3 separate regions of the Mus musculus genome follow, and all the other regions are reported to be linked to region 1. Evidence: microRNA targets listed by miRTarBase, many of them from high-throughput screens and not tested one by one. Region 1 holds a microRNA gene; each other region holds the end of a gene's coding sequence.

Evidence for each region. Region 1 holds the annotated microRNA mmu-miR-743b-5p (UGUUCAGACUGGUGUCCAUCA, at 2,714-2,734, shown strand). A microRNA usually pairs through its seed, bases 2 to 8, with sites in the 3' UTR of a target mRNA and lowers its output. Matches are read on the target gene's strand: a 7mer-m8 pairs with bases 2 to 8, a 7mer-A1 pairs with bases 2 to 7 and ends in A, and an 8mer does both.
Region 2: miRTarBase lists Maf as a target of mmu-miR-743b-5p. Seed matches in the 3' UTR shown: 7mer-A1 at 1,186-1,192.
Region 3: the mRNA of Saal1 is a reported target of mmu-miR-743b-5p. Seed matches in the 3' UTR shown: 7mer-m8 at 3,767-3,773.

Annotation. Positions count from the first base shown.
Region 1 is chrX:66,775,650-66,780,035 of GRCm38, reverse strand. It overlaps Mir743b (microRNA 743b), which reads left to right and starts at 2,704; the gene lies at 2,704-2,780. It overlaps Mir743 (microRNA 743), which reads left to right and starts at 3,218; the gene lies at 3,218-3,279. It also overlaps the pseudogene Gm14681.
Region 2 is chr8:115,702,410-115,706,795 of GRCm38, reverse strand. Maf (avian musculoaponeurotic fibrosarcoma oncogene homolog) reads left to right here. Exons shown (of 1, transcript NM_001025577.2): 1 at 1-3,543. The coding sequence ends at 1,045. Among named protein-coding and RNA genes, the nearest start is that of Maf, 2.3 kb to the left of the region's middle.
Region 3 is chr7:46,685,767-46,690,152 of GRCm38, reverse strand. Saal1 (serum amyloid A-like 1) reads left to right here. Exons shown (of 12, transcript NM_030233.1): 11 at 258-350; 12 at 698-4,045. The coding sequence ends at 790. Among named protein-coding and RNA genes, the nearest start is that of Tph1, 21 kb to the right of the region's middle.

The sequences.
Region 1 (4,386 bases):
AAGCTACAAGTAATTAGAGTCTTCCTTTATAAATATGGCCCTAAGTGAAAAAGAACCAAACAGATTTAAATTCAAGTCACTGAAATTATGATGGTATCAGTGATTTGAATTTAAATAGACCAAGTTCCTATCTTCTGTATTCTGTAACTTTCTCCAGTAATTGAACAGCGATATACAGGTACAATTGTGTTGTATTCTCATCCTATGCTCCCAATATTCTGATTCTTTTAGAAGATTTTCATTACCTAGTTTTTAAAAGTCATTTGCAAAGTATATCACTGATTAATCTTAAAGTCACACTGGCTATCTGGCTATAGGTCAAGAGGTCTTCCTTTATCATGCAAGGTGACAAAGTATATTTTGTATTCCCAAACAGTTGAAAATAAATAAATCAATGTTAATATGTCATGCTGTAATTGGTGAAGTGATGAAAACTGCTTGGGATGATTAGCCTACATGGATGATACCTCCATATCTTCATGCTTTATGTTATATCTCACTCAAGAAGCTGTTAGACAGTTGGACTACCGACAAATCTTCCAGGTAAAGTACTGCTCTTTAATTCAGTTATTTTTGATAGGTTCTAGGTAGTATTAGTGCTTTCCATGTAAGATCACTGATAATGGTTTTCAGGATGATCACAAAGCCTTACTATACAATTGTGTGTATCTTTTTAATCACTTTCATGGGACAGCATTCAAGCATCTATGTTAGGTAAGGAAAAGGAGAACAAGGTGCTAAAATTAAGAATTATGCTTTCATAAAAAGAAAATGAGGTACACTGTGTTAATGAAAGACTAAACACAGAAACGGTTTGAGTCTTTGTTGCCCCATATCCTTACTTTTTCAACATAGTGTAGACTATCCATGTTTCACCTCATGGGTACTTTCAAAATAGAGAATGTAAAGAAAGAAGATAATCTAAAGAAAAAAAAAATAATTTCCTTCCCAGTAATTAAATAAAGTTAAAGGACTTTTATCTCTCTGATCCAGAAGTGGTAGAGATAGAAAGTGAAGGAGAGTATATATATTCCCTAAGAACTTGAGTTAAGGACTCCTGAAACTTCTTGGTAATGCAAGAGTCAGATGAGATGATATGTCTCCATTCATTTTGGTGTGTGCATTGTGATATAGGACAGATACCAGTCACTTTCTACTAACCTCTCTCAATATAAGGATACAGAAAAAAGTAAAACTTGATGAAGATGATGAGGACGATGATGAGGATGATGAGGATGATGATGATGATGATTTTGATGAAGAGGAAACTGAAGAAAAGGTCCCAGTGAAGAAATCTGTACGAGATACCCCAGCCAAAAATGCACAAAAATCAAACCAAAATGGAAAAGACTTAAAACCGTCAACACCGAGATCAAAGGGTCAAGAGTCCTTCAAAAAACAGGAAAAGACTCCTAAAACACCAAAAGGACCTAGTTCTGTAGAAGACATTAAGGCAAAAATGCAAGCAAGTATAGAAAAAGGCGGTTCTCTTCCCAAAGTGGAAGCCAAGTTCATTAATTATGTGAAGAATTGTTTCCGGATGACTGACCAGGAGGCTATTCAAGATCTCTGGCAGTGGAGGAAGTCTCTTTAAGAAAAGGGTTTAAACAGTTTAAACAGTTTGGGGTATCTCTCTCAATATAAGGATACTCATAAAGTACTGTCATTGTAAATGTAAGAACATAGATGCACATGCAAGAGTATTTTCTGATTCTAAGATCGATTGTAGCTACCTTCACAGGACATTGTTTAGGTGAAGATATAGGGGGAACCTTTCATCTAATTCCTATTTCTCATAGGTGAAAATATTTAAAATTAGGGACATAGCACTATGGAAAATAAGTTTAGTTTCATTTTAATTTTTAAGTGCTTTTTAAATTAAAATATTTTATAATTCTCCCCTTTCGTTTCTTCCCTTCAGCCACTCTAATCAACTAACCCCTTTGTTCTCTCTCTCATTCATGCCCTGCTTAGTCCATATTTTGAAAGTTTTATGTATGTTATTTCAGTGCTGACCATGGAAAAGCAGTTGGTGGGCTCTTCTCTGCTGAGTACTATTTCTCCTGAAAGCTTTTTAGTGTCAATCCCTATACACATTAATGTCAGTGAGACTTAAGTGCGTGTACACATGGTCTCTCAGAGTGAGTAATGTTCAACAAGCTCCTTACTTTGTATACCCTGGACCTTATACTTCGTCTTCAAAGGCATCCTTGAGATTGCTACCATTTTCATCATTTCTCATTTAAAGCCCCACTTTTTTAGACTTAAAAGGTGCTTAAGGTTGTACACATGCCTCAAAATGGTCAGAGAGTGCAATTATAAAAGTAATATGTTTATTATTAATGGATATTTAATATCAGCAAAATGAGATAAAAAATTGGGATCACAACATTCAGAAGGAGAAATGAAAGGTGAAGGATTTTGTCATTTCCTGGACCTGTGAATAAAGAAATCTAGTGTTCACCTATCACACTAGACTACAAGAATTGATGAAGGCTCATGAAAACTAGTATATACTGTATTTATCTTCACAGCATACATCCTCAAGGTGAATTTAGACAGGATCCTCAAATATGATGGTTATTACTACATGGTAGAGAAAAAAAGATGAAGCATCAGTCATACTGATGCAAAGCATGCAACTAGTACTTAACTTTTTGTCCAGGACACTGAAATAGGAGTGGGAGAGGGCAGTATGTTGTGTGCAGTGCTGTGTTCAGACTGGTGTCCATCATGTGAAATATTTGTGAAAGACATCATGCTGAATAGAGTAAGGCCCATGATATTCTTCATTTATTATGCCTTAATTGGTCAGAGTGGTGCAGTGCAGTTACACTTGACATGAATCCCTCATTGTAATTAGTCATATGTAACCCTCAGGATCCATATTTATCCAGAGTATAATTTTAGATGTTCAATTTTTACACAATTATAACATGTAGGTTAAAGAAAAAAATACTTAGAAGAAACTAAACCCACAATCAACAAATGATACATCTTTTATCTATGTAGATTTGAGAATCAACACTGTAAATAGAGACCAGGACATAGTATACAGTGAAGAACTAGAAACTCATAGCCTACTGTAGGAATGTTTTCTAATATATACATATAAACAGAAGTGAGTTTTCATGTTGAGTGGGGCAGAATGATTTGTGTGACATGTAGATGAAGGATCTGGGGCAGAGCATTCTCATTAAAGTTCTTGTATGCAGTGCTGTATTCAGATTGGTGCCTGTCATGTTTATAAGAATGAAAGACACCAAGCTGAGTAGAGTAGGGCTTATTGTGTTCTTCATTGCAGGTGGTATTATGTGGTCAGGGTGTTTTATCTGTAGTTACACAAAATGTAACCAGTCCTAATCTGTTACCTAAGTACAATTTTGATTCCCAGTGTTAACTTTATAGCCGCATATAGATTGGAGAATTAACACAAAGTTTGGCAGTCAACCATATAGTAGGACATAGTATGTTATGTACAAGGAATATTCCCTAAGATAGGAATAAATATGATATATGTTAAGGTTTTATACTCATTAAGGCAGATTGATAAATAGGATACTATTAGGACATGATTGAGGCCCGCCCTACATGCTAAAATTCTATACAGAGCCATATTTGCTTAAACTGTTAACCAGTTCTTCTGTGTGAGTAGAATAAGTCTAACAAGCTGTCTCATTACTTTTAGCATAGTGATTTTTGTATAAGTACAAATATCCTAGCATTTCTGATTATGGTGTTCTTTGACTTTTCTGGGCCCTAGGACACCTTCAGGGTTTTTAATGGTGTTGTTGTCACCTTCATGCTTTTTGTTGTTGTTGTTATTCAAAAATTCACATAGGTCCGATAAAATACAGAAGGAAAATTCAATTTATTTATGTGCTAAAAAACATACTTTTAAGAGCCTAAAGCACAGTCTTTAGAATAATTAGATTGTATGCTTGAGGCCCTAAGTTTGGCACGTGGTCTGGCAAGAATGAAGGAAAGGGTATTAAGCTGAGAGTGATGATCAGTTATTGGTACTCAGAGTTATTCATCTTATTGGAATGCAGGAAGAAGATGTCAAATTATATATGCAAGGTGATGTATAATGAGTTTTGCATTCCCTAGGTGTGTTCAGGGTTCAGGCATCCTTCCTGATGTCATAACTTGTACAAGTGATGAATATTATTAGAGGTTATAGAGTTGATAGAGTCAGCACTTCTACATTTGTTTTGTTTCTTTTTTTCTGAAAATGTTTAAGATATATCCTGACCACAATTTCACATCCCCCATCTTCTCTGAGATCCTCCCCACCTTCACTACCAGATTTCTTTATCTTCCTTTAGAAAAATCAGCAAGATAAATGAGTGAATAAAGAATAATTTAAAATGCCCAAGAAACACA
Region 2 (4,386 bases), not on the chromosome of region 1:
TGACTTCGATCTGATGAAGTTTGAAGTGAAAAAGGAACCGGTGGAGACCGACCGCATCATCAGCCAGTGCGGCCGTCTCATCGCCGGGGGCTCGCTGTCCTCCACCCCCATGAGCACGCCCTGCAGCTCGGTGCCCCCGTCCCCCAGCTTCTCGGCGCCCAGCCCGGGCTCGGGCAGCGAACAGAAGGCGCACCTGGAAGACTACTACTGGATGACCGGCTACCCGCAGCAGCTCAACCCGGAGGCGCTGGGCTTCAGCCCGGAGGACGCGGTCGAGGCGCTCATCAGCAACAGCCACCAGCTCCAGGGTGGCTTCGATGGCTATGCGCGGGGAGCGCAGCAGCTGGCCGCGGCAGCGGGGGCCGGCGCCGGCGCCTCCCTGGGCGGCAGCGGCGAGGAGATGGGCCCCGCCGCCGCCGTGGTGTCCGCCGTGATCGCCGCGGCCGCCGCGCAGAGCGGCGCGGCACCCCACTACCATCACCACCACCACCACGCCGCGGGGCACCACCACCATCCGACGGCCGGCGCCCCGGGAGCCGCGGGCGGCGCGTCTGCCTCTGCGAGCGGCGCGGGTGGCGCGGGCGGCGGTGGCCCGGCCAGCGCCGGGGGCGGCGGCGGCGGAGGCGGCGGCGGGGGCACGGCGGGGGCGGGGGGCGCCCTGCACCCGCACCATGCCGCGGGCGGCCTGCACTTCGACGACCGCTTCTCGGACGAGCAGTTGGTGACCATGTCGGTGCGCGAGCTGAACCGGCAGCTGCGCGGGGTCAGCAAGGAGGAGGTGATCCGACTGAAGCAGAAGAGGCGGACCCTGAAAAACCGCGGCTATGCCCAGTCCTGCCGCTTCAAGAGGGTGCAGCAGAGACACGTCCTGGAGTCGGAGAAGAACCAGCTGCTGCAGCAGGTAGACCACCTCAAGCAGGAGATCTCCAGGCTGGTGCGCGAAAGGGACGCCTACAAGGAGAAATACGAGAAGCTGGTGAGCAACGGCTTCCGAGAAAACGGCTCGAGCAGCGACAACCCTTCCTCTCCCGAATTTTTCATGTGAGTGTGACACGCGATCCCAGCTAGCCACCTTGTTAAATGCTCCGTGGGGGTCCCGCTCCTGAGTGGGCTTGCTAGTTGCAGGGCCAAGCTCGCTCGGCCACCACCTCGCCCCCTCCCCTGGCGAGTTTGCTCCCCTTGGCCCTGAACAGACACACACACACACACACACACACACACACACACACACACACACACACACACCAAGCTTGTGGTGGTGGTGATGGCTCTTTTGAATTGGGGAGGGAAAGGGTGTCTGGCTCATGGATTGCCAACCTGAATTCCCCCGTAACTTGCTAGCTTGGTTGTTTTGTTCTTTTTTATTATTATTATTATTATTACAACTACTACTCTTTTTACACCGCCTGCCCCACACATACCCTGGACTTGCACAAGGGTCAAAGATCTGAGCAGCATACTTCATGTAGGGCATAGCTCACCTTTGAACCGGGCCATCAATTGCCTGTATATATATTTTTTCTTCTTCTTCTTCAGCTCATGAGCTGGTGTTCATTCTGTGTGTGTGTGTTTGTGTGTTTTATTTTGTTTGGATTTTCTTTTTTCTTCTTCTTCTTCTTTGTTTTTGTTTATTATTACTATTACTAATTTTTTGGAGCTTGCTGTGTTTCCCAGCCTCTGCCACCCCCCACCCCCACCCCTGCACCATGTTCTTGAGATAAAAGGAAAAAAAAAAAAAGCAGGGTTTTTTTTTCCCCTCCTTCTGAGTTCTTCTGATTGAGCTTGCAAAGGAAAAAAAAATGTGAAATGCTATAGACCTTGCAGCGAGCTGAGTTCCACGGGGGTTTTATCTTAGCATTGTTATGCTAAAACAGAATGAACTAAAGCCACTCCTGAACCTGCCACAATCAAGCCTACATCAACCTTCTGGGTGTGACTTGTGAGTTTTGGCCTTATGATGCCAAATCTGAAAGTTTAGTCTGCCATTAAACAACAAACAAACAAAAACACAAAAACAAACTTACTCTCATCTCATGCATTACGATGCTTGCTACTTTGTCTTAGCAACAATGAACTATAACAGTTTCAAAGACATTATGGAAAAGAGACATTATATTAATAAAAGAAGCCTGCATGCTGGACATGTATGGTATAATTATTTTTTTCCTTTTTTTTCCCCCCAATTTGGCTTGGAAATGGACTTTTGAAGACTTAGCGCATGACATCCATACTTTTGATTTACAGCCTCATGACTTTTTTGAGTTCCAAACAACAACAGAAAAAGTACAACCCCAGAGCCTTCTTCCCTTGACAGTTTGCTTCTACTCCTGACTGCTTTGAGTTACAATGAACTTCAGCCTCCCGTTGTACATGCACTGAAGGCGTTCCTTGTCAAAGATAGCAGAATGGGCTACAAATTTATATGGCAAATATTATAGAACGTAAATTAAATGTTTTCTTTTTAGAAACAATGATGCCTGCTTTGGGGCACTTTAAATTGTGCTATTGCCAAAAGCAGTCTAAATTTTCTTTGAAAAGAAAGAAAAAAAAAATCTGCCCCAATTATTTTTTGGTTGGTTTTATTTTTTTTTATTTTATTTTTTCTATTTTTTTTTTAATTTTTTTGGTTTTTGGTCATTGTCAAATGTGGAATGCTATGGGTTTCTAGTATATAATTTAATTCTAGATTTTATAATCTGTTAGCCCAGTTAAAATGTATGCTACAGATAAAGGAATGTTATAGATACATTTGAAAGAGTTAGGTCTGTGTAGCTGTAGATTTTTTTAAAGACCGATGCACTAAATTGTTTACTGTTGTGATGTTAAGGGGGGTAGAGTTTGCAAGGGGACTGTTTAAAAAGTAGCTTTCTGAAGCATGTGCTTGCAACTTAAATATAAGTTGGGTATGTGTAGTTCTTGCTATACCATGGACTGTATTGAAAACCAAAGTATTAAAAGGGGAAATGCCCCTGTTTATATCTGTAGGGGTATTTTACATTCAAAATGTATGTTTTTTTCCAAAATTAAAGTATTTGGGACTGAATTGCACTAAGATATAACCTGCAAGCATATAATACAAAAAAAAATCGCAAAAACTGTTTAGAACGCTAATAAAATTTATGCAGTTATAAAATGGCATTACTGCACAGTTTTAAAGTGATGCAGATTTTTTACAGTTATGTTGTGGTGCAGAACTGGATTTTCTGTAACTTAAAAAAATCCACAGTTTTAAAGGCAATAACCAGTAAATGTTATTTTCAGGGACTGACATCCTGTCTTAGAAAGAAAGAAAGAAAGAAAGAAAGAAAGAAAGAAAGAAAGAAAGAAAGAAAGAAAGAAAAGGAAAGGAAATCTTACCACAATAAATATAAGAAATCTTGTCAGTTACTTTTCTTTTACATATTTTGCTGTGCAAAATTGTTTTATAACTTGAGTTACTAACTAACCACGCGTGACGTTCTACATGCTTCTCTTTCATTTTCAATTCTGGTTATATCAAGAGAAAGAATAATCTACAATAATAAACTGCATTTTTTTTGATTCTGTTCCGTTTCTTAGTGTACAGATTAACTGGGTCCCATGTCTTGGAGCTTGGATATGAAATACAAAATGCATTCTCTTTGATTTCTGAACAAGGGAGTTGGAGGCAGGAATTCTATTCTGAGAGGCAGGAGATTGACACCATATAGTCAGTAACAATATTTAATATTAATACAAATTATGACATCTTATTTTTTCTCCTCACAGATCTTAGTTTCCTAATAGGCTGAGCTAGTAAGGAAAAAAAGTGAGAAAGAGGGACAGTGAGAGAGAAAGATAGAGAGATAGACAGACAGACAGACAGACAGACAGAGACACACACACACACACACACACACACACACACACACACACACTGAGAGCACATAGGAGCTTTCTGAACAGGACTCTAAGCTTCTGACGAAGGAGCACAGATAGAGGGACTGGGACCAGCAAGTCTGGCTCACCAGAGGTGCATGGGAACATATGCATTTAATGGTAAAGATAAATAATTCTTGCCGTTTGGCCAAAATTGATTATTTTTTCTTCTTCCCTTACATGTTGTGATTTTCTTGTTGGCACAGTCCTGACAAGACTAAACATAAACACTTTGCACAAATCAAAGTTGTTTGATTTTGCTCTTTTTTCCCCCTGTCATTTTTTTTTAAACTTTTCAAGTCACTTGTCCTAAATGGGAAAAAGAAAGTCTATCATTTGCACACAGAGTTTCCAGTTCACACCAGGTTTTATCTATATTATCTAACTATATTTCGAATAGTCAAAGAGCTGTCTCCAAGCATATAAGCTAGGGATAACTACATGAGTCCCCCAAATATAAATATACAAAGAAAACAACATTTTCATGGG
Region 3 (4,386 bases), not on the chromosome of region 1:
ACTGGAGCGGGTAGAGGCTTCACCCAGAACCCAGCAGTGGGTCGGGAGGAGAGCCAGAGAGCAGGGCGGGGCTCAGCAGTGCCTCAGCTCCTGGCCCAAGAAGCAGGGGAGCTTTGCCTTTCACTGAGATTAGCTGTGCGGAGGTTCAGGATGCTGATGAGACCAGCTGTGATTCTCTGTACTGATGGCTATGTTTGCAGATACAGCCTTAGTCCATTTCCTTTTCTGATGTGAAATTTTGCTTTTGCTTGTCACAGGAAAAGGTGGCTCAGGGACTGAAGGAGGGCCAGTTAAGCAAGCAGAAGTGCTCCTGCGCCTTTCAGAGCCTCCTGCCCCTCTACGGCCCTGCAGTGAGTATGGGGAAATGATAGCATAGCTTCCGGGATTTAATGCTGTATGGCAGAGCTGGCATAAGGGGGCTTGACAGCAAGGGGGAATTAATAAAACGCCAGTGAGCGACCTACAAGGAAGCAGTGGGAGTCTAACAGCCGGGAGTGAAAGGAACTAACTGGCTAGGGTCGTCACTTCTAGGCTTGTCACTGGAGTATTTCAAGTGACCTGCGGGAGGTCTCTTGGCTCACACTGTTTGTATTGAGTCATTGGAAGGGCAGGAGGATGTTTTCATAGGTAACCATGGATGTCTTTAAAAAACACCTTTTCCTCTACTGTAGACATTGGTTCTTTGTGTGACTCACAGGTGGAAGACTTCGTTAAAGTCGTACGTGAGGTCGATGAGGCTCTTGCTGATGACCTAGAAGACAGCTTCCCAAGTGTGAAGGCACAGACTTAAGACCCAAGTTGGAGCTTCTGCTGTCCAAGGAATAAACTTTGTGTTTTCTATGGTTCGAAGTTGGCATCGGGATGATGGTGTGAATGAACATTGTATCAGACCTTGATTTCGTAGTCTGCCCTGATGCCCGTCTCCTCCCACTTGTGTTTGTACCAGACGCTGGTTTACCACTGTCACCCCCCTCTCCTCTGCATTGAGCGCATGTTACTGATGCTTGGTTGAAGAAGAGGAAATCCAAGCTTGTTGTCACAGTTAAGGTGCTGCTGGGAAAAGACCCCATGGCCATGACAACTCTTACAAAGGATGACGTTTAACTGGGCCTGGCTTCCAGGTTCATTATCCTGGAGGGAAGCATGGCAGGGTGCAGGCACCGTAAGGCTGGAGAAGGAGCTGAGAGCGCTACATCTTGATTTGCAGGCAGCAGAAGGCACACTGGGCAAAGCTCTAGCCTAGGAGACCTCAAAGCCTGCCCCCTACAGTGACACTTACTCCAATAAGGCCACACATCCTAGTAGTGCCAGTCCCCATGGGCTATGCATTCAAGCACCCGAGTCTATGCATCACCATATTTGTCAGAGCAAAGGTTCTTTTTCCAATATTGAGTTGTAAGGTTGTCTTCATAATCTTTACTTGGGCTTTTATGTGAGAATTTTGTATTCATTACAAGTACATTTAGTTGCAGTGACAGAAACTCCTCATATGGTAGCTTCCTCCAGTATCCTTGTGTATTTCATACAATATATGCAGAGACAAGTGCAGACCGGGGAACCGTCTGCCTCCTTTCCCTGTCTCAGTGGCCTACCATGCAGACCTTTGCACACACACACTTATTTGTAACAGTGAGGCCTGCGCTGTGTCTTCCATCCACATTCAGGGGTGAAACAAAAGAGGCAAAGAGGCGCTCTAGGAAGTTCTGCCAGCCTTCCCTGACCTCCTCTGTTATGCGTTGTATCTAAAGTCCAGGTCCTGCTCACTCTCCATAAGAGGGAAGGTGTAACTAACTTAGGCTTGGAGAGCCAGCCTGCTAGCATACAGTAGCTGCTCTGAGCCTCAGGTGTGCTAGCTCTCAGCATCAGCTGTGTGGACTCCTCCAGATTGTCAGTAACAACCTGGAAGCAGTACTTCCTGTGCCGTGGTTCCACTTGCACTTTCCTGTTTCACAGACGGAAGAGAGACAGACACTGGCGTTCAGTGTGAGTGCGTTGGCGAGACTGTTTTCAGCATGAGTCGGCAGTTGTGCTTCAGAACATGATTTGCTTGAGAAGATTTTAAGTAAGATGAGGGACTGCCACAGCCTCTCTCGTCTGTGACTCCCTGGTGCTTCCTCGCTGTCCCCAGTGCTTCTTGATGAAGACATTCCTGGAACCATCCAGGCACTTAGCATCCAGTCTGCATTACTTCACACACCAACCAGAATTCTTTCTCGTTTAAAGAGATTCTCAGTTACCACAAAGCCAGCTTTATAAACCCATTCCAGTTTCCCCCAGAATCTTTTTTAACGTAAGGGATTGGTCTCCATTTATACTTTTCCTTAAACGATTTTTATTGATAAAACACAGATTCTGTATTGGGGGGATAAGAACTCACTTTCTGATCTCTAGATGTTGCTGAAAAGGATTGGAGAACAGGAGCGCACACTCAAACTTGACCTGAGTGGCGGATTTACCTTATATACCTTCCTGTTCTTGGGGCTAACTGTAATGCTAGACTGTAAGGTTATGTGTTTGTAGTTAGGGACCAGCTCTTATGTGTGCCACACTGGATAGGAATTCCGAATCCTGTGTCCTCTGTGACTGACTCGGGGTTTCAGCAGCGTGTTGAAGTCACTCATGCTAAGACGAGGTGTTGTCTCATGTAGAAGATGAAGCCTGCTGCACACGGAATAGCACTTGGATCTCTTGCTTTTGCTTACCGTTGTGCATGCATGTTTCATGTTGCTTTTATGAGAACACACTTTGAGAACACAAGGACTTCTCAGGGTGAGGCTGCCCCTCAGAGGACAAGTTCTAGAGGGAGAGGAAAAAGGGTGTGGCGTAAGGGCCAACATGCTGTTTCCTGCTTCTTGATTCTGGCTGGCCCCTTACTATTTACTCTGTTGGTTCTGTTTTTCAGGCACTACAAACTTCACATTGGTTTGATATGCATGAAAACATCCTGAGTCTGTAAAACTAGAGAAATGTAAAAGAAAACATGGTCAGGGCTAAAACTTGAGTGCTCTGTGATTCAAGGAAGTAACACACCAATGCAGCACTTGAATCCACTGCGGCCATCTTTAAGGCTGGCACTCTGTAAGCAAAACATGAACCTGGGGAGTTCGTGGGCACATGCATCCTGTGCTACATGCAGGTGCGGGAGGGAGAGAACTTAAAAGAAGAACAAGAGTTAGCAAACCTGCACACGTGTAAATACCTGAATTTCAGTCCAGTTTCTAAGGAATCTGATCATCTCAAAAGAAGAGACGTTTTTCTTGCTTTTTGTTAAGGATATTTTGTATCTGAGAGCTGAGGTCCAACTCCACTCTCCTGGGCTCTTATTTTATTTTTCTTTCATTGCTTTGTCTGCTCTAGCTCCTTCGATTTAAAAGGGTTTTCCCCTCCACCTTTAATATTTCTCATTGCTTTGACTTTGACTTGGGTTACTGACCTTGAAAACGCTGGCATATATATAAATGGGGAAAGGTTGATAAGCTACCCTCGGCATATACACTTCTGATGAAGTACATGCAGAAACCATCTGCAGACATGGAGAACTAGCCTGTATCTGGCGCTCGGTACATCTTCAGCGAGCAGCATTTTCTCTCTGTAGAGTTGAGCTGTGTGTATGCCAGCGAAGAAATCACTGAAGCAAAGGAAGTGAGTGCTACCTGCTCTAACCGGTGTTCCTGCTCGGTAGCCTAGTTCTTAAAAGGGAAGTTTCATACTGACAGAGGGCTAAACTGTCAGACGGTTCAGCAAAAGGAAACCAGGTAGACATTTCTCTGAACTAGCCTTTTTCTATATTTTTCTTAGTGCTAGTCCAAGATGGTGACTAAATTGTTGTCTTGGCTTTTACTCTAGGCCTGTCTGGCCCCAAAGCCTGCCCCTCATCACTATACAACACTAGTAGCCATGGGTAGTCATGGGTCAGCTCTGGAGGGCTTTTTAAAGGTATTTGCCTATCCATGTACCTGTCTCTGAGCTGCCTATGTTCTCCCCTGTTAGCATGTCTGACTGAGAAAGGAAGTGATGTCTGAGCAAAGCTGGGTGAAGAAAGACCAAAAAAAAAAAAAAAAAAAAAGGTCGGCTCAGGACATCTAGATTCTACATCACAAAGTCATAAGGCTGGGGGTCTGATTTGGGGCAGCCAGTCAGTCATTGATTGTCTACTATGAATCCTTTGACACCAGAAGACAGAAGAATAAACAGGCAGCATTAGGACACTACCACAGTGGGTGGAGCGGACAGAAATCTTGCCCCAGTGAGGCTCTTATTCATAAGGTATGGTGTAAAGATGCAGGATGATGCTTCCGGCTGCACAGAGGGACAGAGGAGCTTAGGCAACTGGAGGCAGGTCACTGTACTGTTCACCTCTCTCTGTGGCCTTGCTGTGAATGGCCT